Linked DNA regions of Schizosaccharomyces pombe. The gene in region 2 interacts genetically with the main gene of each other region. Each region holds a gene or a part of one and is shown on either strand. Other genes may lie near its edges.

Region 1 (5,595 bases), 1.0 Mb from region 2:
GAAAGAGGAAGCAATTGATGGAGAGATAGACGGCTTGGGAGGTAAGGTGTTTGTGTCCATGTTTTCAAATTCCAAGGCCAACAAAAAAGAAACAGTAAAGTGAGTTTTACGGAACAATAAATAGGAGAAATAGGAGAAACAGGAATGAAATAACTTTAGATTAAATAAATATTAACCAGACCAATAAAAAAAATATGAGCCACGTCTAAAAAATAAATCAAAACCGAACCGAATTAGATCCAAAAATAAATAATCAATGTAAAACAAAGTCTAGCGAACTTAGCATACACCACAGGCAAATTAACTAAGAATTGTCTCAAGCAGTAGAATTCATACAGACTACCAAAAGCACAATATTAATAAATAAGGGAAGATCTATAAAAAATCTCAATTGCACAAATCCTACGAGTAATGTTAAGCTAACTAACAATTAACTGGGAATGCTTCGACTTCCACTCCACAATGCAGTGTGAAAGCCTACTTCTTTTAAGTTATGGAGAGGAATGAAACTTTCTGCTTCACTTCAACTTATAAACGGAGTTTCGGCTCTGGATTAGTCATTCTTCAATCTAACGATTCATCATCATTTAGCTGAAATCGCAGTCATGATTAAGAGACAATTTACCCACGTCGTTCTACGCTAACATCCTGTTGGTTATTCAAATTGACGAGTGAATAAGCGCATTTTCGCTCCATTCCACAAAGTTGAAACAATGCAATTTTTCACATTTTCAATAAAACGTGGTAAGAAGACCCAATGAGCTAGTCACCCAAGTTCTCAGTCGGAGTCGTAAAATATGCAAAATTTTTTAGAATCCGGTCCTCGTAAAAAGCATCTTTATATTAACTTAAGAACTTGGATATGGGTACAGTGAGTAGTGAGTGAATCTTCAAAGATGCGATTGTGTATGGGAGCATATAAAATTGGTAGAGTTACAGTACAATGTAGTGATAGATAAATAACTAGAATAATGAGAAAGAAAAAAAATAAATAAATAAAGAGAGTAAAAGGGATTTAAATTGAAGGAAATGATATTTTTGAACCTGAAATAATGTGTTGTGTATATAGAAACTTAATAATAAAATGAATGCATTGAGGATACCACAAAGTAATTATTCCCAAAATAAAAGAAAAAGAATGATAAACAAACAACAAAAGAAAAAACTACGAAGAACGAGGATCGGTTGATTGTTTCAACTTGTAAAATTTCTCAAGACAAGAAACCCGGTCTCTCATAATCGACTTTTAAAATAATAGCGTGTTATCACAAAAAGCATCAACATTAAAATTTGTAGCAAAGAACAAACAATAGGAATATGGTTCTAAAAAAACGTAGATGAGACTTTTAATACGGAGGAAAGTGAAGAATATACGAACCCTAAGGATGGTCTTGTTCTTTGCTCCTTCGACATATCTATATTCGTTCTTGCATAAGGTCAAGCGTCAGCCTGTTGGGAAGAAGGAAGCGCGGGCTTAATATCGGTCATCTCTTGCTCGTCTTCCACCTCATGATCATGGTTGTTAAAACTAGCGTTGAATTGACCGAATCCAGTCTTATCCAGCAAAAATTCAATACCACACGCTATTATGGAGACACCGATCAATGCAATGCAGACATCATTACTTTTACGGAAGGTAGGATCACCAGGCCAGCCACTGTAAAGAGCATATGTCGTAACGACAGATCCCAAATTGCCCAAACCCGTCACGAGGGCCAAGCTGGAAGCCACGCCTACATCGCCATAGGTTTTGGCCATGGAGGCGGAGCACCAGGCCATACAAATGGGAACGGTTGGACCAAGACCAAATCCAATCATGAGTAAACCACCATAGCGTGACCAGGCACGAGGAGCGTAGTTAGCAACGGCAAGGCCGGCGATGATGATCAAACAGGATCCCGTGAAGAAGGAAAACTTCTTATGGAATCTGTCGTACAATGGCATAACAGTGACAATGCCCAAAGCGTCGGCAAGCCAAATAGGAGCATTCAACAACGAGATATCGATACCGGAAAAACTGGGGTTAATCTCTTCAATAATCAAAGTACAATAGTTGAAGATACCATTACCCACACCGACGATACCAAAGTACATGAGAATAAAAGGCCATACGCGGAGATCCAAGCAAGACTTTAGCAAATCAGACCATTGCCACCGCTTACCAACATTCATCTCTGCAATGTATCTAGAATGAAGGGATTTGTCGGCAGGCGTGAGGAAGCCAATTCTCTGAGGAGACAAAGTTTTCATCCATTTGGGTAAGGGAATAAACGAGCTAAGCGACTTTCTATGCTCCTTTGAAGCAACTGCCGGCAACCACCAGGGAATGGATAATGCTTGGGCAATAGCAACGACTCCCCAGATAAGGAACATCCACTGGTATCCATACAAGCCGCGAGCGCCATCCATCTTTTGGAAACCAGCTGAAACCAAACTGACGGCTGCTGCTGCAATTTGAGCAGCCGTATAATACCAACCAATACGTTTACCCAAGTGCTTGCCCCTATACCAACGGCTCATGTAGTAAGCCAAGCCGGGCCATAAGCCGGATTCAGCGACACCTAAGAAGAAACGTAAAGCGACATAACTTTGCGCATTACCATGTTTCGTTCCCAAAACTGCATGGCAAGCACCAACAACACCAATGGTGAGTTGGATACGAGACACCCAAATTCGGGGCTCGATAAATGCCATCATCAAGTTGGAGGGCACCTCAAAAATAATGTAGCCAACGTAAAACAACGCCAAACCCAAGGCGAGATAGTGAGCTGAGTAGCCAGAAAGTGTTTGAATAAGACTGTGGCCCTGAGCCGTATTCATGGTAAACGAAAGTGAGACAGTAAAACGAAGACAACAAGACAAAAAGTAAAGAATCCAAAGACATGGAATGATACGAAGGTCCATTTTCAATCTTAATTTCTGTAACCTTCGCAATTCGCTACTAGTAAATTCTTGCTCTTTTACCGTCGTTTCCGCACCATCGTTAAAAACATTGAGATCAGACGAATCGATTACTGTCGTCGAAAATTGATTCTTCAATGAGGGCTTTGAATCTGATACGCTTTCGACAATTTCAGGAATATTAAGTTTGGGATTCTCCTCAACTGAGGAGGCCCTCGATGTTTCAGGCCATTCTGAAGCCATTATTTTGAAATTTTCGGGAATGACAGATGGATATCGAGACAGTGATGGCTTTCCAATACTTTTCTAAATGTGGTGGATTTTAACCAACACAACCCCGTTCACTTCAGCACGAAGAATTGAAAATTAGAAAAACGGCGCATATATATACTAATGAAGGGCGTCAATATTGCTACCTGGCCAACTTACTTTAATTGCAATGAAGATTGCGACAAATATTAAAATACAAAAAAACCCGTCACTATTCTTTATGAAATTTCGCAACGGCCAGGTCTCGTCAAATCACGGTATCTTAGATTGTGAAAGTTAGCGAAATGAAGGATAAGAAATAAATATCGCTTAGATCGTGGGAAATATATGGAAGCAGAGGCGTCTAAACTTTTGAATAAACTTCGCTCAGAAATAGAAATAGATCGAATTCTATAGTAGTATTAAGATTTAATGAAGATGTTTTTAAAACGGGTAGTCGAAACGTTGAGCGATTGTTCATTCAAACGTACACCAGCAACAGGTATTCTATATACTAATATAAAGATTTTTGGATCTTTCAAATATTTTCTTTAAGAATAATTATAATATTATGAAGGTATATGATGTCGTTTTTCTCTCTAATATTATTTTTGTCGACAATATAGATCTCTTATTTTGTTTTAATTATGTAGAGCTGTTACATAAATCACTGATTATCATTCACTATAATTCTTTTCTCAAATACCTAGCCTTCAAATGTGCCTAATATTTTTCCTTTGCATTCTTCGGCATCATTGCAAACTAGTTCTCCAGCCGGTCGACTTTTTTTGATAGCCGCCCATATTAGTTTTCTTCCACGATCATATCTCTTCATGGAATACCGTGATACATCTACGTGTGTGTTTGAACAAGCCGCTAATCAAATGCTTCAAAGTATAATGTGTTGGTACGCTAGTGCGGATTGAAAATCTAGACAGATCCGGAAAGATCAATTCCATTAAACAATACCGCTCTATCTTTCATTAATTTCCAAAATAAAAGTATTTTTAACAACAATGAGGTAGTAAGATAGCATAAAAAAGAAATTTCTATTTAGGAATCAATTGCTTTAGCCATTCATCTTAACGATCTTCAATGTGGAACATACTCCAAAATTTAGAATTCGTTTACGATTCAAAGTTGTTACTCGTTATTGTTTTAGTTCATGTCGATGAAAATAGTAAGTATCCGAACGATTTAGCTTGTTGATCGTAATAAGATTAAATTTAGTAGGATATAATTTGAACGGCAATATCATTTCTTCATTACGAAAGTTACTACACGATTCAACATGTCATAGGTTCATAAATCACTTTACCCAACAAACTCATACTTCTCATTGAAATTATTTTCGTTCATTATTAATCTTTAGTGGATTCAGCAAGGGATAGCTGATGAATTGGAGATAAATGATATATCCAATTTGCTATTGGCGAAGATATCAATTCACCAAGTAGCGTTGGTTTTCTCGATAATAAGAGTACGAAGGTTAAGTATGAGAGCAGTGCTCTTTTTTCAGCAAATTCCCTGTTTAATTAATACATTTAAGCAAATTTTTTATCTTTTAAACCCGTTCATTTACAGTTTCATTTCTTAATTTTTGCCCCTTTTTTTTTCGTTTACTGCTTTTGCCAGTTCTGTTATTTCAATGTCATGCTTGTTTTGCATGTTCTTTTTTGCAAATCACCCCTACAATGAATTTTTGAATAGAGCAACGATGTTAGATCTGTTGCATCCATCCTGGCGTGAGAATGAGAAAATATTGCTCGTTTCGAATGTGCTTGCAAAAATAACAGAAATCGTAGGGAGCATCTCGGATGAATTCAAAAGATCACTAATGAAACCTTGTGGATTTTTTTTAGCGATCAGCGATTAGTAAACTTTGTGGGAATCGCCAGTTTCGTCAAAAACTACTAAATGTTAAAAGAGTGTATGGAAAAAAATTTCACTGTTGGAAAAACTAACGGGATTATGCTTAAAACGATGAGAAAAATGCAATACCCACACTTGACTTGTAAACTCATTCATTGCAATATACGTTTGCTTATTTGTTGGTGCCTGGAAAACAAAAGAGAAATTAATAACCTAAATTTAAAAAATAAAATAGAAAAAGGAACGTTACATAATACAGATGACTAGTTTTCTGTGTAAAAACAATAAAATAAAAAATAATGGTAATTAATAAATAATACAATTTTGGATATTGATCGTCATTCTAGTTACTATTTGGAATAGGAATAAAAATAAAAAAGAAAATTTTTATTTGAAGAAATAATCTAACTGTCAGTATCTAGCGATTTATAATTTATATCTAATCATGGTTTAGTACAGTTTTTTTCACATAGTAATAAAGGATTGGTAATATTTAAGCAGTGATAATAACTATTTATTTAATTGTTCGATGTTTTATTTGCAAAAACTTTACGTATCGTAAATATTAAAAAT
Region 2 (5,694 bases):
TCCGCAAACAGAAATGATTCAAAAAGGCAAGCTTCTTCTTTTCGAAGGTCTCCGCCTAGTTCTGTACATATGAAGCCTTCAGCTTTTAACGGTCGAAAGGTATCGCGGAGACCTTCATCTTCTCCTCCCCCTATTCCTTCTATCCCTCATGAAACTACTTCCTCCGATACACAAAAAAAATCTAGCGTGTCTTCTGGCTTTCCAGAGAACAAACATGGAAAATTTCACTTTCATATACCTAATGAACGCCGATCTCGATTCGATCAACCTCCTTCGAAACGTATGGCACTCACGTCCACGGCCCGTGAGTCTGTTCCAGCTCCTCTTCCTTCTCCTCCTTCCGGCCCAATTTATACATATACATATCCAAAGCCTGCCTATGAGAAAATCGACCAAATTGGAGAAGGAACTTATGGTAAAGTATACAAAGCCATTAACACAGTCACAGGAGATTTGGTAGCTTTAAAACGGATAAGGCTGGAGCAGGAAAAGGATGGTGTAAGTATAAAAATCAAGCTCGTAACTAAATTGACTAACTTTCTAGTTCCCTATAACTACTGTCCGTGAAGTCAAAATCTTGCAGCGTTTGCGTCACAAAAATATTGTTCGGCTATTAGAAATTATGGTGGAAAAAAGTACGATTAAATACTGTCCTCATTCACCGTTTAATTATAACTAGTTCTAACATTTTAAAATTCTAGGTTCTGTATATATGGTATTTGAGTACATGGATCACGATTTAACTGGAGTCTTACTAAATTCACAATTACATTTTACTCCCGGTAACATAAAACACCTTTCGAAGCAAATTTTTGAAGCATTAGCTTATCTTCATCATCGTGGGGTGCTTCATCGTGACATTAAAGGTTCTAATATATTACTGAATAACAATGGTGATCTAAAATTCGCAGATTTTGGTCTGGCGAGATTTAATACATCTTCGAAGTCGGCTAACTACACTAATCGCGTTATTACCCTTTGGTTTCGACCTCCAGAGCTATTACTTGGAGAAACTGCATATGACACAGCCGTGGACATATGGAGTGCTGGCTGTATTGTTATGGAGTTGTTTACAGGAAAACCTTTTTTTCAAGGGCGAGACGAAATCAGTCAGTTAGAGGTTATCTATGATATGATGGGTACCCCTGATGTTCATTCTTGGCCTGAGGTGAAAAATCTTCCTTGGTATGAGCTTCTGAAGCCAGTAGAGGAAAAGAAGTCGCGTTTTGTTGAAACTTTTAAGGAGATTTTAAGTCCTGCCGCCATTGACCTATGCCAAAAACTCCTTGCCCTAAATCCCTTTTGTAGACCGTCAGCTCATGAGACCTTGATGCATGAGTATTTCACTTCTGAGAGCCCACCTCCAGAGCCAGCAGTCATGTAAGTATAAAATTTATCGTTGAATGATATTTATCTAACTTATGTGTTTAGTTTGAAAAACATGCAAGGAAGTTGGCATGAATGGGAAAGTAAAAAACGAAAATCTAAAAGATAAATGAGCCAGAAAATTTTGTCAAGGCGAAGCTATGCAAGCTGGACAAATGTTTAAAAAAAATAATCTTTATATTTCATTTAATTTCTTTGTCTCGCTTTACTGCGGTCTATCTTCTATATATTTTGTTAACACTAGGCAGAGTAACAAATTTGTCTGATGCTGGACAACTTTTTTTCATTTTTTGCTCTCTTTTTCTTCCGAAAAAGATGAAATAAGAACACTAATAGCTCATGATAATTAAATGTTCCACTGGTTTATTTGACTATTATAACTCTTTCACCTTTTAAGAACTTAGAAATCAAAGGCTTGAAGTCTTGAAATGAGCTTGGTACTGTGTACAAAAAAGATAAATTCAAAGGACTCGTATGAATTTATGATGTGGTTTTCTTTTAATCAGTCAACCGTAGTAATAATAATTTGTTTACATATACTTTTTAATAATGTTAAGGTGCAGATGTTCTCAAGAGCCTGCTCAAATATTTAGTAATGATGATTTAACAATTAAGAGAGCAAAAATTAAGTTACTATTTGAATGCGTAGCTTAAAATTGATCAAAGTATATCTACGGCTTTTACAATAGTGTGATGGCACGGATATCACATTCCGCATTGCACTGGACCACACTATAAGTCAACACTGAACTGATCGAGGAATAGGTAAGCATTCCCCTTCTCCTTTTGATCAAGAACCATCATTATAACAAAAAAAACAAACACAAAAAAAGTCGATGTCATTGTCGGAGTATCTTCGTGAATTCGCTGAGATTTTTGAGGAAGCTGCACAAGAATTAACCTCAATATTCGAACTACCTCCTGACCTGTTGAAAGATATTACTGAAGAGGATGTTGGGACTGATGACTCTTGTAATAAGAAATTCCTTGAAGTTCAAAAGCAAAAAGAAGATGAAGAAGATGAAGAAATATTGAAAGGAGTGGATTTAACGCAGCAAGATTCCGTACGTGAAAAAATCCACGAAATACAATCGATGTCGCAATTGAGTGAGAAGAGAAAGGCCTTACTTATGCAGGTAAGTACATGAAATTAATCATAAAAGTGAGATTTAAATGAAAATAAGATTACTAAACTGGCTTTGTAGAAAATGCTGATGTCTGGTTATTTAAAATATCGACGAACTCACAAGAAAGAATCTGATGAGAACCAATTGAGCTCATCTGATCTTGAAAAGACTTATTATGACAAAGAGCAAGAAATTTTAGGGTGTTCTCATTACATGCGCAATTGCAAGGTTCAGTGTTTCGATTGTCACGAGTGGTATACGTGCCGTCACTGTCACAACGATGCTTGTGATCATGTTTTAGAACGACCTGCCGTAGAAAACATGCTTTGCATGATATGTTCCAAGGTTCAACCAGCAGCTCAATATTGCAAATACTGTAAGAACTGTATGGGCCGATATTACTGCAATAAGGTATGTGATATTTTATTTGATACTTGTTCAATATCACTAATACATGACTTAACAGTGCAAACTTTGGGATGACGATCCGAATAAAAGTAGCTATCATTGTGATGATTGTGGTATTTGTCGAATAGGACGCGGTCTTGGCGATGATTATTTCCACTGCAAGGTAACTTTCGTGTACTTTTAGCACATGCTTTGCTTTTTAAACTCATATTCTAACAGCTGTAGACTTGTGGCCTTTGTTTACCTATTTCGGTTTTCAATACTCATCGTTGCATCGAAAGAAGTACGGATTGTAATTGCCCAATTTGTGGTGAATACATGTTTAACTCTCGCGAACGCGTAATCTTTTTAAGTTGCTCTCATCCGTTGCACCAGCGATGTCATGAAGAATATATAAGAACCAATTATCGTTGTCCTACTTGTTACAAAACGATCATTAATGTCAATTCATTGTTTCGAATTTTAGATATGGAAATTGAACGACAACCCATGCCTTATCCCTATAACACTTGGATTTCTACCATCCGTTGCAATGACTGTAACTCACGTTGTGATACGAAATACCATTTCTTGGGTCATAAATGTAATTCATGTCATTCTTACAATACTTGTATTTCATCAATTTACAAACCTTTGGATCACCCACAGGTGTCTATCCCTCGACTGGCAACCGCTGAGGATGCCGGTATGCGACGGCTAATGGGACATTCTTGGGACAACAGCGATGAAGACTTTAATATTTTCGGGATTCACAGTTTTATATAGATTTTCTAACTTTATGAACTTCCTAAACTGTTACGATTATCCTATATGTACTATTATTTTGGAAAAGTTGCTATTTTCATTCAATTCTTTGCAAGAATTACGAATTTTTAACGTTTACCCCAATTGTCTGATTATATTTATTCCCTTTTCTCGTCCTTTTGCATCTACTTCTTATATGGTTTTTTTTCTCAACAAGTCAAGCGATGGTATGAAGTAAATCGCTTAAATTTCCTCGATGAAGAGAATTTCTGTTTTAATTAATCTAAACTCATCTACTTTTGTGTGAAGCTATGGTGTCTTGAAACATTCGCAAACATAAGGACTTTGCTTCATGCAATTCTGGGCCTCTCTCAATATTTCAATTTCCTGTTATTATGACTTATATGTTATTTGTCTTGATTTTTTTTACGGCTGGCATTCATTAAATAAAGAGTTTATTGTCATTCCATATTCATCTAATCCTTCAGATTCCTTTTAAACTGACTTTTTGTCTAGAAGATGCGATCATTCGTCAAGTTACTGCAACTATTCTTGTTACTTTTCTATCTGTCGTTGTGATTCTTTAGCAGCATCCAACTACAAAATTTTTTTACCACACTTGCAGTTGTCTCTTAAGAGCAGGTTTAGTAACGTGGATGGGTTGTTAGTCGGAGTTACTAGTCAGATGAAGCGATAATACTAATTTTCTACTATATCAATTTAATTTGGCATGAATAAAATTTCAATACATTGTTACTATGTAAGGTGGTTAACTCAATTACCGCGTGGAAACGATAGTGTCAAATGCAGCCATATGTTTCAAGCCAGTAGTAAATGGCATCTACTGTTGCGGATGTTTAGTAATTTAAAATTAGGGAAATCTATATGAATATTGCAGTATGTGAAAACTGTGGTAGCTTTCTCATTAAGCGCAAGTTAACGGCGATCTCTTTTTATCCAGCCATTTGAAATGAATAATTTGCCTTAGTAAAATTTCACCTGGTTCGTAACTTTAAGGTTCTTTGCTAGAGCATTGATAGGTAACATATTGGTAAGGTGAAAAAAAGCCTCGAAACTAACTCGGAAAGAATCCCCACATTGAAAAGTGCATCACCCTTACCTATAGGCAAAGCCAAGCAGGACCGCGACATTTTCTCTTTACCGCTTACTCTTCACCGTGCTTTTAAGGGAATTCATCAAGATACATTGAAATTGGACGAGATCTTATTATTTTTCTAGAAAAAAAATCCAACGTTCTTTTAAAAACTTCAAAAAACCTTCTTTCTGTAAGGGAATTCGCACGCAAGAGAAAATGTCATTCACGAACAATACTTCAAGTGTGGACACTTCCCTCAGCTCATCTGCTTCTAGCAGTATTCCGGCAAGCAGCTCTTCTGCTGCTGCTAGTACGAGTTTGAGTAGCTCAAGCGTGATTCCTTCTAGTTCGAGCTCTATGCTTTCATCGTCTAGTGCTACTGCAATTAGTTCTTCATCATCGTCTTCACCTCTTTCATCCTCATCTTTTACTTCTCCTGCTTCTTCTTCTTTTATCACATCTTTGGTCTCATCAAGCAGCCAACAAAGCTCTAGTAGCAGTGCTTCATTGACCTCTAGTAGCAGTGCTACACTGACTTCCAGTAGCAGTGCTTCCCCGACCTCCAGTAGTTCGAGTCACGCGCTTAGCAGCAGCAGTAGTTCTCTTGTCGCTAGTAGTTCCTCCAGTGGGATGTCCAGTAGTTCCTTAAGCCATTCGTCTAGTGTCCCATCATCTAGTTCTTCCTACCACAGCTCTTCCATGACTACGAGCGGCTTGAGTTCTTCAGCCAGCATTGTCAGTAGTACGTATCGAGATGGACCCTCAATAATCACATTGGTCTCAACTTCTTACGTTTCTGAAGTGGTGACCCCCACTACTACTAATAATTGGAATTCCTCCAGTTCTTTCACTTCCAGCACTTCGTCTACGCCTATTAGCTCTTCTTATTCTTCCAGTGGCACTTTGCCCAGTAAATCTAACAAGTCAAGCAAT
Region 3 (4,779 bases), 560 kb from region 2:
GCTTCTCAACTTTATTCTCAGATACTGGAAAAATAAATGCACATGAAGATCAGCCTATTAATATCACAAAGCTATTTTGGACTAGTAAAACTTCAGAATCCATTATATCTTAACATAAAATTGATGATTTTATCTATTGTTGATGTGTTTTAGTCGAACATAATACTTGATTTTTGCAGTTGCCAGGAACACCAAAGCACACACCATGAAGTTGGTACGGTAAGTATGATAAAAAATCTATACATATTCCTAACGAGTTTAGCTTTTTAATGAAGCTGACGAATGAAACTGTCTCTATTGAGTTAAAAAATGGTACGTAAAGCCTTACTTTCGTATAATAAATGAACCAAACTTACCAAATCGCGTAGGCACAATTGTTCACGGAACGATTACTTCTGTTGATATGCAAATGAATACCCATTTAAAAGCTGTTAAAATGACTGTCAAAGGTAGAGAGCCAGTGCCTGTAGAAACTCTGTCAATTCGTGGAAATAACATACGCTACTACATCCTCCCAGACTCGTTACCACTTGATACCCTTTTAATTGATGATAGCACAAAGCCAAAACAAAAGAAGAAAGAGGTAGTACGAGGTCGTGGACGTGGACGTGGCCGTGGAACTAGAGGCAGAGGCCGCGGTGCTTCTCGTGGGTTTTAAATATTATGAAAATATTCTCTTTTCGCACCCTTATTTTTGTCAGAGAATTTAAAATTATTGGCAATATCAATCGGCCTTTGCATTTTATTTTCTTTTAATAGATTTGCTTTGTGATGACATTGAAGTATTGCTGAGAGTGTATGCGTATTCTATGTTTTCCATGTTTCTATCATTTATCTCTGGTTAAATATCTAGACCGCTAAAAAAATCCCTTTCTTTCTCATACGTTGAAATGTTTGATAATCAACCTACGATAGCTTTGCTGAGGTGGCTTCATAAATGTATGTATAAAACGACTTCAGAGTTGTTTCACTGGTATATAATTAAATATTACATCAAAAATTTCCTTAATTTATTACGAGTACCCAGTTAAATAAACGTGTATTTTATTAACTTCTAAAAAGATGTGAAATTTGAAATAAATGTGATATTATGAAAAATAAGGAATCATTCCTCAACATGATTTTCAAAGTTTTTCAGTAAGCTCCGGGACGATTTCAAATAAGTCACCTACAATTCCCACATCTGCTGTTTGAAAGATAGGAGCATTTTCATCGCGATTTATAGCAGCAATGACTTTGCTATCTTTGATTCCGGCAAGATGCTGAATAGCACCATCAATTCCAACAGCAATATAAAGCTTTGGGGCGATGATTTTTCCAGTTTGACCTATTTGTAAAGAATTATCAGCATAGCCAGAATCCACGGCAACACGTGTAGCACCAATTGCTGCACCCAATTTGTCAGCCAAAGGTGTAAGGATGCGTTCAAATGTCTCTTTGTCTTTCAAAGGTCGACCACCAGCAACAACTCTTTCGGCAGAAGACAAATCAGGCCTAGCATTCTTTATAATATTCTCACTAACCCATTCTTGTAGAGCAGCTGGTTTTGGATCAATACCTTCAACAACAGTGGCTGCTCCTTCACCACTTGAAGGAGCGGCGTCAAATGCAGATGCACGAACGGTGACGATTTTAATAGGATCCTTTGTAGACACAGTAACGTTTACGTTTCCCGCGTATGTCGGACGAACGAATGTGTCAGCAGAAACCACACCAATAATGTCACTAATCTGCATCACATCAAACATAGCAGCCAAACGAGGCATCACCCCTTTACCAACAGTTGAATGAGCAGAAAAAACATGACTAATTTCATTTTTCTTAACATTTTCAAAAAGAACATTGGCTATTTGATCGGGAATGTTATGCTCATATGACGGATTCTCAACGTAGATAACCTTTTTCAAATCGTTCACCGATTTTGCTACCTTTTGAGAAATTTGAGAAGAATCCTTACCGATTACAAATCCAAAAACATCCCCACCGGTACGCTTTGCTGCTTCTACTGCTGACAAGGATGCTGGAGACAAGTTCCCTCCCTGATGCTCAAGCAACGTCAAAACACTAAACCAATGCCTTCTTCCACAATTTATTTTAAAGTTAGAAGAAGACAAAGCCCTAGAAAATGTCCGGCTAGTAGTCCTTAGCATGTTAGAATACTTCGTTGTAGGTTTGAGGGTGAATGAGGATGTACGCTGACAATATGTATGTTCACATATTATACTAAGAAAAAACTTAAGTAATACAGTCTTACATTTCAAAGGTAAAATAACTAAAAATAAGTAATCGTGATATATTTAAGTGATTTATCTACCAGAAATGATTTTTCGTGAGTATGAAAACATCCTAATTTTCATATACCTTACATTTATTTTTTTTGATAACCAACTGCCAATATTTTGACAAATTCTTTCAATACAAAGTTTAAAGTCTATAGCGATTGCAATAACTAGGTGCATCATTAAAAATAATAATAATGAAAATTCTTTTCAAATAAAAAAAAATATGAGAAACTCAATGTATCCTTCTTAGCATTACAGTTATTGAATCGTTCATCAACGTTAAAGTTCACTAAGATATTAGGAGACAAAAGGTGACTTCACTATTTTATTTTAATAACACACTCCACATTCTTATACCACAAGCATTGCTTTCTAACGATGGCAAGGAGTTTTGTTCAACTACGCACACAAGATAGTAAATAAACAAGAAAATCGGTGAAATTTCCTAATCACTTGTCCAAACCTCTTCACTTACTGCTTAAATACAAAAGAGATTACAATTTTCATATTTAAACGGTTCTCTTTTAAAGAAGAACAAATCAATGATTGAAGTCATTGTCTCTTAGTACTCACGGGGGTTTTTTTTACTTTTGTATATTAAAACGTTTCGAGGTCATATGGATCCGTTTGCTGGTACTGGTCAGTCCAAAAGTTATCGAACTTTTGGAAACGTCTTTCAAAGACTCTCCATGTCTGGCAACCCAAAACCTCTCGCCAAGAAACCACTTCTACTCCCTGAAGCTTCAAAAGCCATTGAATTTTGGAATTATCGAGATGTTATAGGTGGTGAAGAGGCCGAGCAAGAAAGAAATGAAAGGGCAAGTAGAATTGCAATATCCAGAATTGCTTCCAGCAGAAGTTCTATTCCAGAATACAGGCAAGCTATTATGCAGCATCTGACAAAACATGTTCAACAACTTGACCAGTTGGCTGAATGGTGATTAATGAGTTTATGATATAAATTCTTATCCTTTCAAACACCACATCACTAAACACTAAATTAATTCAAAATATTAAGAATAATTTCTGGCAATCTGTGTCTCAAGATAGTTTTCCGCTACTACCCTCTTGGTTGCAGCTTTCAGTTATCCTTTGCAAGTGTATCAATAAATTCTGCCAGCTTTAAATCTTTTTCTGTAAGTCCCTTTGTATCGTGAGTTGTCAACGTAATATCCACTTTATTGTATACATTAGTCCATTCGGGATGATGATTTAGCTGTTGTGCACGCAATGCGACACAGCTCATAAATCCCCAAGCTTCAATGAAGTTTTTAAAACGAAAGCTTTTAAATAGTTTTGTATCTCCTTGTTGAAGAATCCAGTTGTTTTTTGATTTCGAGACTAACGCCAGTAATCTAGCTGATGTGTTCATTTTTTCAACCTTCTAAACCAACGTTTATTCCAGAAAAAATGTTTTTCTTCAAAATTTAGGTAAAATATCAATGTGATGTGTGTAGAACGTAACTGTTTTAATACACTCAATTTACCTCCTTTTACTTTGGTATGTGAAAGAGAACGAAATCATATCGTCTTGTCTTATTCACAACATCAAAAGAGTAAATTTAGCTACTACGCTAAAAGAACCTCTTCTACAGAGGAGCATTAGAATTATATTTGTTAATTGTATAAACAGTTTCCTAGTTTTATTTCCAAAATAAATAAAATATGCTTGGTTTGGTCTTGTAGCATTTTATCCATCAGTTTTTATGGGTAAATAGTCATTCGCTCTTTTTAATGTTAAAATATTTTATTCATGGAACACTTCCTAATTTTTAAAAGTTTATCGACTTGGCTTCAACACATAGTGCTTCTATAAGTAACAAACATGTTTTAAAACAAGATATCAATACCATTAACAATATCATTTTATACATGGATCAATCATCCATTTATTCGATAACTATAATCAAATAACCTCCTGTTTGCATAAGAGAAAAGGTGAGACTTAGCTTACGAGACATTTATGAATAAAAATAAAAATACTTGTAAACAGTTAGGTTTCACTGCAGCAACATTCCAAATATCAAATGGGACCTTCAAACACAAAATTATAAAAACCCAAGACCGCCTCTTTTCTCGAGAAGCATGAAGCATTGAAACCAAACTCAAAAGGTTTCTTTCACGTCACTTATCAAAAAAATTGTGGAATTCCTTTGCTGACTGACATTTTCAAGCTCTTCAACTTCCTTTCACCCCTTCTTGTGTTTCGCTTCCAAGATGTATAAAATGAAGGAATTGTCATGTTGATTTTTCATCCTTTAAGAACAAGATTCCTCTTAGGTTTCTGTTCTTTCCTCAAATTCTCAATTGACATTTGTTGGTGATATAAACAACCATAGAGATAGAAGCGGTTTCTCAGGCCTTCATTTTTTTTAAACCTCAAAATTTAACTTTTGAACAATTCGTCACGTACATCAAACATCATAAACGTTTACGAAACGCATTGTCCCAAAAATAGTAAACTGGCTAAGCAATAAAACAAAAAATACACATATGT
Region 4 (5,174 bases), on a different chromosome or scaffold from region 2:
AAGTTGAAATTCTGGCATGGCTGAATAATCAATGTCCCCTTCTTCAGGCTGTGCAAATTCCAGCTTTAGCATAAAGTCTATTGTATTCATTTCTTTTGGTTTCCACTTCAAAAGCGACTGGTCAGTGCCAGATACATAAGGAGTTTCCGTACATGTAAAGATAAGTCCATCATTACCATGACGAAGTCGGGGGATCACTTCATTAAATAACTTTAGGATACCATGACCCAGCTCCATTTTTTTTAACGATGTGAGAAAAGGAAATATGGCAGTTTCGCGCATATGAGTCTTTGTATATTCATCTAAGGGCTTTTGAATGCTTTTAGCAAAAATTCCCAAGCGTTTGTCAAGCAATCGACTCATATAAACAATTCCATCACATGCCAAACAATCAAAGACTAAATATCTCAGTTGCTTCTTACCACCTGGATAGATATCTAAAACCAACTCACCGTCCAAAAGTGTATCAACATGATATTTTTTTCCAGATTTGTCATTTTCAACTGGATAAAAAATTTTCTCAACATGATAAAAATTCATTTTACGATCAAATAAATATACACTGGGTCGATTTTCGTACCGAGGATGCTCGGTCATATAAAGTAAACAACGAATTCCATCACTTTTTTCACATACGAAATAGTTCTTTTCTTTTAATGCTTGTAAATGTTTCTTTGAAAAAGAAACTGGCTGTGATCCAGGAAATGTATCAGGACTTGTTCCTAATAATTTGGCAATTCGTGTCTTTAAAACCCTCACATCGTCGCGCGGTGCTAAAACTCCAGGGACTGATACCTCTTCAATGTCTTTCTCTGAGGGTGCCATTCCTTTTAATAATACACTCGTTTCTTTGCTAAGAGAGGGCTTAAGCACTTTCTGAAGGAGTAGAAACGGGATATAGTCTTAATGTACTAAATAAAGACACATGGTTTGTATAAAAATTCCTTATGCAGTATAGTGATCTTTTGCTGCAAAACGCAAAAATGCATATAATTATAGCTGCTCTACGAATACTGTTATCTTTTCTACCATTTACTTCAGAAAGTGTTATTCTATTACTTAATTTTTTTTTTATTCCAAAGCAAACAATATATGTAACTGTGGTGTCGTACTGAAGATAAAATGACATGTCTGTGAACGAGGTACAGATTATATGGCAGTGATTACAGATTTGGCTCATCTAGGTCAAGTTCGTAAAGCAATCGTAACCTATTAAAAAAATACATATAGGGAAGATATATCATTACAGTAATTATTAATCTGGAAATGAAACGTGCGTAAAGGATCTTCGAAACATAAACACTTTTAATGAAGAAACATGAATGAAAAACCCAAGCAATTGAATGAAACGAGTTTGGAGTGAGATTGCAAATCCCATGAACACAGTGACGCGAAGAAAATAATAGTATTGTGAAAAAAGAAAAATAAAATATGCCAGAGTTAAAGTACAATTACTATAGACAAGCAGTAGAGCAGCACTGGCCGTCTTTTAAGCATCTCCTATTGCAAGATTCTATCCAGGCTCTCAGAAATGCATATACAGTATAATAAAAAAATGTTACGAAACTTGATTCAATGGGGTGTCATTTGCTCAATGTTTCTGAAAGGACATAATTCCTTGAGCCTCTGAAGAAAGATATTGTCGAATTCCTTCGCAATTGCAATCTTGATGAGCTAATAGTTGATTCTTCAAACAAATTACTTCTTCACGTAGTTGGCTGACTAAAATCCTTAGAGCTTTCGACTGCTCACATGCGATATGTGCTGTTTTTTCGAGATTCTGTGTCCAAAGCTTTTTCTTTTGGCGGCATTTCGATGCGGCTATTCGATTTCTCTCTAAAAACCGCCTCCTCTTCATATCAGGAGTTTCATTGTTACTAGCGGTATGAACATTGTTACTGCCAGGTGTACCCCGTCGTTGACTGGAGGCGACGGTTTTATTGGAACAGGACTCATCGCTGCTGTTGTAGTCTCCATTTGGAGATTGAGACTGCTTCTTGTTGGAGTTTAAGTATCCTTCTCTACGTAAGGATTCAAGATTATAGAAAATCTCATCGTTATTCGCAGTAGCGGAATTCTTATATAGGTCCAAACCTTTTTCTTGTTCCGCTCCTGTTAGATTAACATTGTTTTGCATAAGATTTGACTGCACTACGTATGGGGCGTTGGTTCCATTTTGGAATTGTGGATGAAGCACTTGATGAGATCCATTATTATAATGATTCAAAGTACTACCTTCAGAGTATAATGAAGGTGCAACAATTGTTGAGCGTACAGGAGGAGTATTTGTAGGCTGGCCTTTGTCATTATTGTTAGAAATCTCCGAAAGGTTTACCGTTTGAGGTAATGATACCTCTGAAGTACGCTCGGGTCCTTTGAGGTAATGTCCAATGCTAGCATCACCTACTATTGAAGCGTAGTTATTATGTGAATTCGAGGGAAAGGATGTTTGATCTTTAGGTCCCTGGACTGGACCTCTACATTCATATACTCCGATATCGCTAGATTCAGCGCGTTTTTCTCCAACTTCATGGTTACCACCATCGCGGAATGTATTGAAGTTAAAATGAAAATCATGGTGAGTGCCATTACTGACGCTAGCACCATATCCTTCATTACCTAGTGTATCTAACCCGAGATACACATTTGCGAAATCCATGATGGAAGATTGATGATGAGCAAGTTAATTTTCTATTGAGTGCGGTTGAAATGGTTTCGACGGTAAAGCCGATGAAGATAGTTGATACAAGAACGGACTAAATAAAAAGCGAAAGTTTCTTTTTTGTTAGTAGTGCGAATATGTAGTGATTTCTTGAAGAAGGTTAAATCTTAAAAAGAGGCTATGTTATTCAGGTGCTGGCGAAACAAATTGGGAAGGGAAGATGAAGCAAATTGTGGTCGATCAAGTGACGCAAATTTGGATTGATGAATAAGGATGCAATATCTTTGTATAAAATTTCTGAATAGTGATCCCTGTGAACTTCTTCAAAAAAGTAAATAAAAGAAAATGAAGAATGTATAAACCGACAAGTTGGTGATTTGAAACTTAGGAGCTATCAATGGAAAAGTTTCTTTCAATTATATAAATGTGTTCTCTCTTTATTTTTCCTCTGTTTTAAGCATGCAGTAGTGTCCCGGTTTTAGGAAATGAACGAACGATAAAGGAAGGGATGACAATTCGTCGTTCTACAGAAGGATGGAATGGATTAATGGCAAAAGTGAGGATTCCTGGGAAAATAAGTATATATATATAAGGTGGACAGAGAAAGAAGGTAAAGGATAATGAAGGTGGTGAAGGAAGCAATGTCTTACTGCGTCCCTGGCAAGTAAAGAGGCTTATAAACAATAGAGAACTATGTACTAAGGTGGTTTAAGATACCAATTCCTTAATTTTGGACTTGGATTACTATAAGAATACGTTTCTGCTGAGAAATATGATGCTGCAGTCGGTAACTTTTTGGTTTGTGTCGCAATGTTTATATATGTTGATCGGGTGAGATGAATTTTGACGTCACTGCAAAACAAACAAACGAAGGGCTAGGGTAGCCAATCGGGAAATGATTTGTTTACTTTATGAGATGAACTTGCCGTATAGAAATAAAAAGTTTTTCTTTATAAAAATTTATTTTTTTTTTGTTTGAAGGGATTTGTTGCAATTAACAAAGGCACTATGCTAAAAAAGTCAAGCAGTATTATCCTTTAAGGCCTCCATTTTAAGGAGCTAACCGAAGGGGACTACATTCACGTGTCGCTCCACTGTGTAATATTTACATCACAGTCGTACCGTTAATTGGCCACCATATTCGGAAAGGAAAATCTAGAGTTCTATTTGATGCAGATTATGTCAAATATAATCAGGATTTACTTTTATTTAAACCAATCAAAAAATAGCCGATTACTTGTGGAGAGATAATAACGCTATCCCTCGGTATTCGTAGTCGTCAATAGTAAAGTTGTGAATGCGAAAATATAATATCGCCTCTCTTGCTAGCTTTTTTCATATTTATTTCCTTTAATGGTTTTGATGAAACTACCTAGGCTTCAAATTTTGTCGTTCTCTTACGCGCGCCACCATAAACGGCTTTATCGTTACTGATAATAATAGCTCATATCATTACTATTAGTAGCCTTTCCGCTATCAATCCTTTCTCAAAATTTAGCCGCAACTTGTTTCTAATACTTCTTCATCTTTCTTGCCCACATTTACTTATATTGTCGCAAGCAAGAGTAACATGTTATTGATTTAAATCTGGTTTGCCAGAATTCTCATTTTTAGTATGTATACTATCATATCTTTTAACTATACACGAGATGAAGTTTAACTTTTGGTCACATTAAATCAAAATAGACAGAACGGATCGTACATACGACCATGAGTTAGCCACTGGATTGAATCAGTTCTGCAAATCGAAAGATGTTGAACTTCGCAGTTGACAATATGAGAATACTTTAGCAACATCTGGAATATTTAATTAAGCTCTACGTCAATTTGGTAGAAATGTGACTATCTAAGATATAGTTGGCAATTTCCCGAATTCATAGGATATCACCTTTAAACCTTTTGACTTAATTTAATGATATTATTTTTCTTTATTTTAATTTACTGAGATGTAAATGCCGTGATTGTTGCATGTGTATACCTCAGATAATAATTGGACGTAGACACTATTGATTAACCCACGTAGCTATTTCACTTCTTTTGAATATTTTTCTCTTATTCATTCCTTCCGATTGCTGAATTTTCAATGCAGCCGTCAAATTAGGAACATATTACTTCATACGGACTCTGACTCATGATTCACTATGTGTCGTCGAGTCAATATATTTTCATTATAGTCATTGAAACTTACTGACTTTTGCAAATGACCGTTTCATATAACTTGTAGCTTTTGGTTAAACATGAACGCTATTGCTACAGTCTAGTTCCCATTAGAAGCAGCTTACGGGAGTAGAATTGTTGCTTAAACCTACCACTAAAACTTTGGTCATAACCTTGAAGGGACTCGGTATGATTGACCTTTTCCAATTAACATGTTTAACATCCACAGTTTCCATTTCTAATTTTATTTTGTATAACCGTAAATATCGAAAAAGCTGTGCATTAGCATTCCTTACACTGCGCTATACCCTCTTGTGTTATTCTATTCCTATACACATCCATACCGTTAATTACT

What was found.
Region 1: mutations in SPOM_SPAC2F3.16 (region 2) and vht1 together harm fitness more than expected from each alone (negative genetic interaction), as found in Schizosaccharomyces pombe (one large-scale study listed by BioGRID).
Region 3: mutations in SPOM_SPAC2F3.16 (region 2) and etf1 together harm fitness more than expected from each alone (negative genetic interaction), as found in Schizosaccharomyces pombe (one large-scale study listed by BioGRID).
Region 4: mutations in SPOM_SPAC2F3.16 (region 2) and atf21 together harm fitness more than expected from each alone (negative genetic interaction), as found in Schizosaccharomyces pombe (one large-scale study listed by BioGRID).

Annotation. Positions count from the first base shown.
Region 1 is NC_003424.3:4,957,657-4,963,251, forward strand, and holds vht1 (plasma membrane vitamin H transmembrane transporter Vht1), read right to left. Parts: upstream 3,255-5,595; 5' UTR 3,145-3,254; coding exon 1,438-3,144; 3' UTR 1,042-1,437; downstream 1-1,041. Other genes in the region: SPOM_SPAC1B3.15C (vitamin H transporter), read right to left, coding at 1-60. UniProt on the Schizosaccharomyces pombe protein: Involved in uptake of biotin and desthiobiotin with the concomitant entry of protons.
Region 2 is NC_003424.3:3,954,921-3,960,614, forward strand, and holds SPOM_SPAC2F3.16 (ubiquitin-protein ligase E3), read left to right. Parts: upstream 1-2,178; 5' UTR 2,179-2,222; coding exon 2,223-2,522; intron 2,523-2,591; coding exon 2,592-2,924; exon of another isoform or gene 2,925-2,979; coding exon 2,980-3,084; exon of another isoform or gene 3,085-3,146; coding exon 3,147-3,686; 3' UTR 3,687-4,507; downstream 4,508-5,694. Other genes in the region: P-TEFb-associated cyclin-dependent protein kinase Lsk1, read left to right, coding at 1-498, 545-635, 702-1,380, 1,432-1,495; protein Mtl2, read left to right, coding at 4,978-5,694.
Region 3 is NC_003424.3:4,516,417-4,521,195, reverse strand, and holds etf1 (electron transfer flavoprotein alpha subunit), read right to left. Parts: upstream 2,175-4,779; 5' UTR 2,151-2,174; coding exon 1,125-2,150; 3' UTR 1,066-1,124; downstream 1-1,065. Other genes in the region: Sm snRNP core protein Smd1, read left to right, coding at 206-219, 263-312, 369-658; anaphase-promoting complex subunit Apc14, read left to right, coding at 2,900-3,223; omt2 (4-alpha-hydroxytetrahydrobiopterin dehydratase), read right to left, coding at 3,364-3,654.
Region 4 is NC_003423.3:1,720,498-1,725,671, reverse strand, and holds atf21 (Atf-CREB family transcription factor Atf21), read right to left. Parts: upstream 2,660-5,174; coding exon 1,592-2,659; 3' UTR 1,222-1,591; downstream 1-1,221. Other genes in the region: mRNA guanylyltransferase Ceg1, read right to left, coding at 1-825.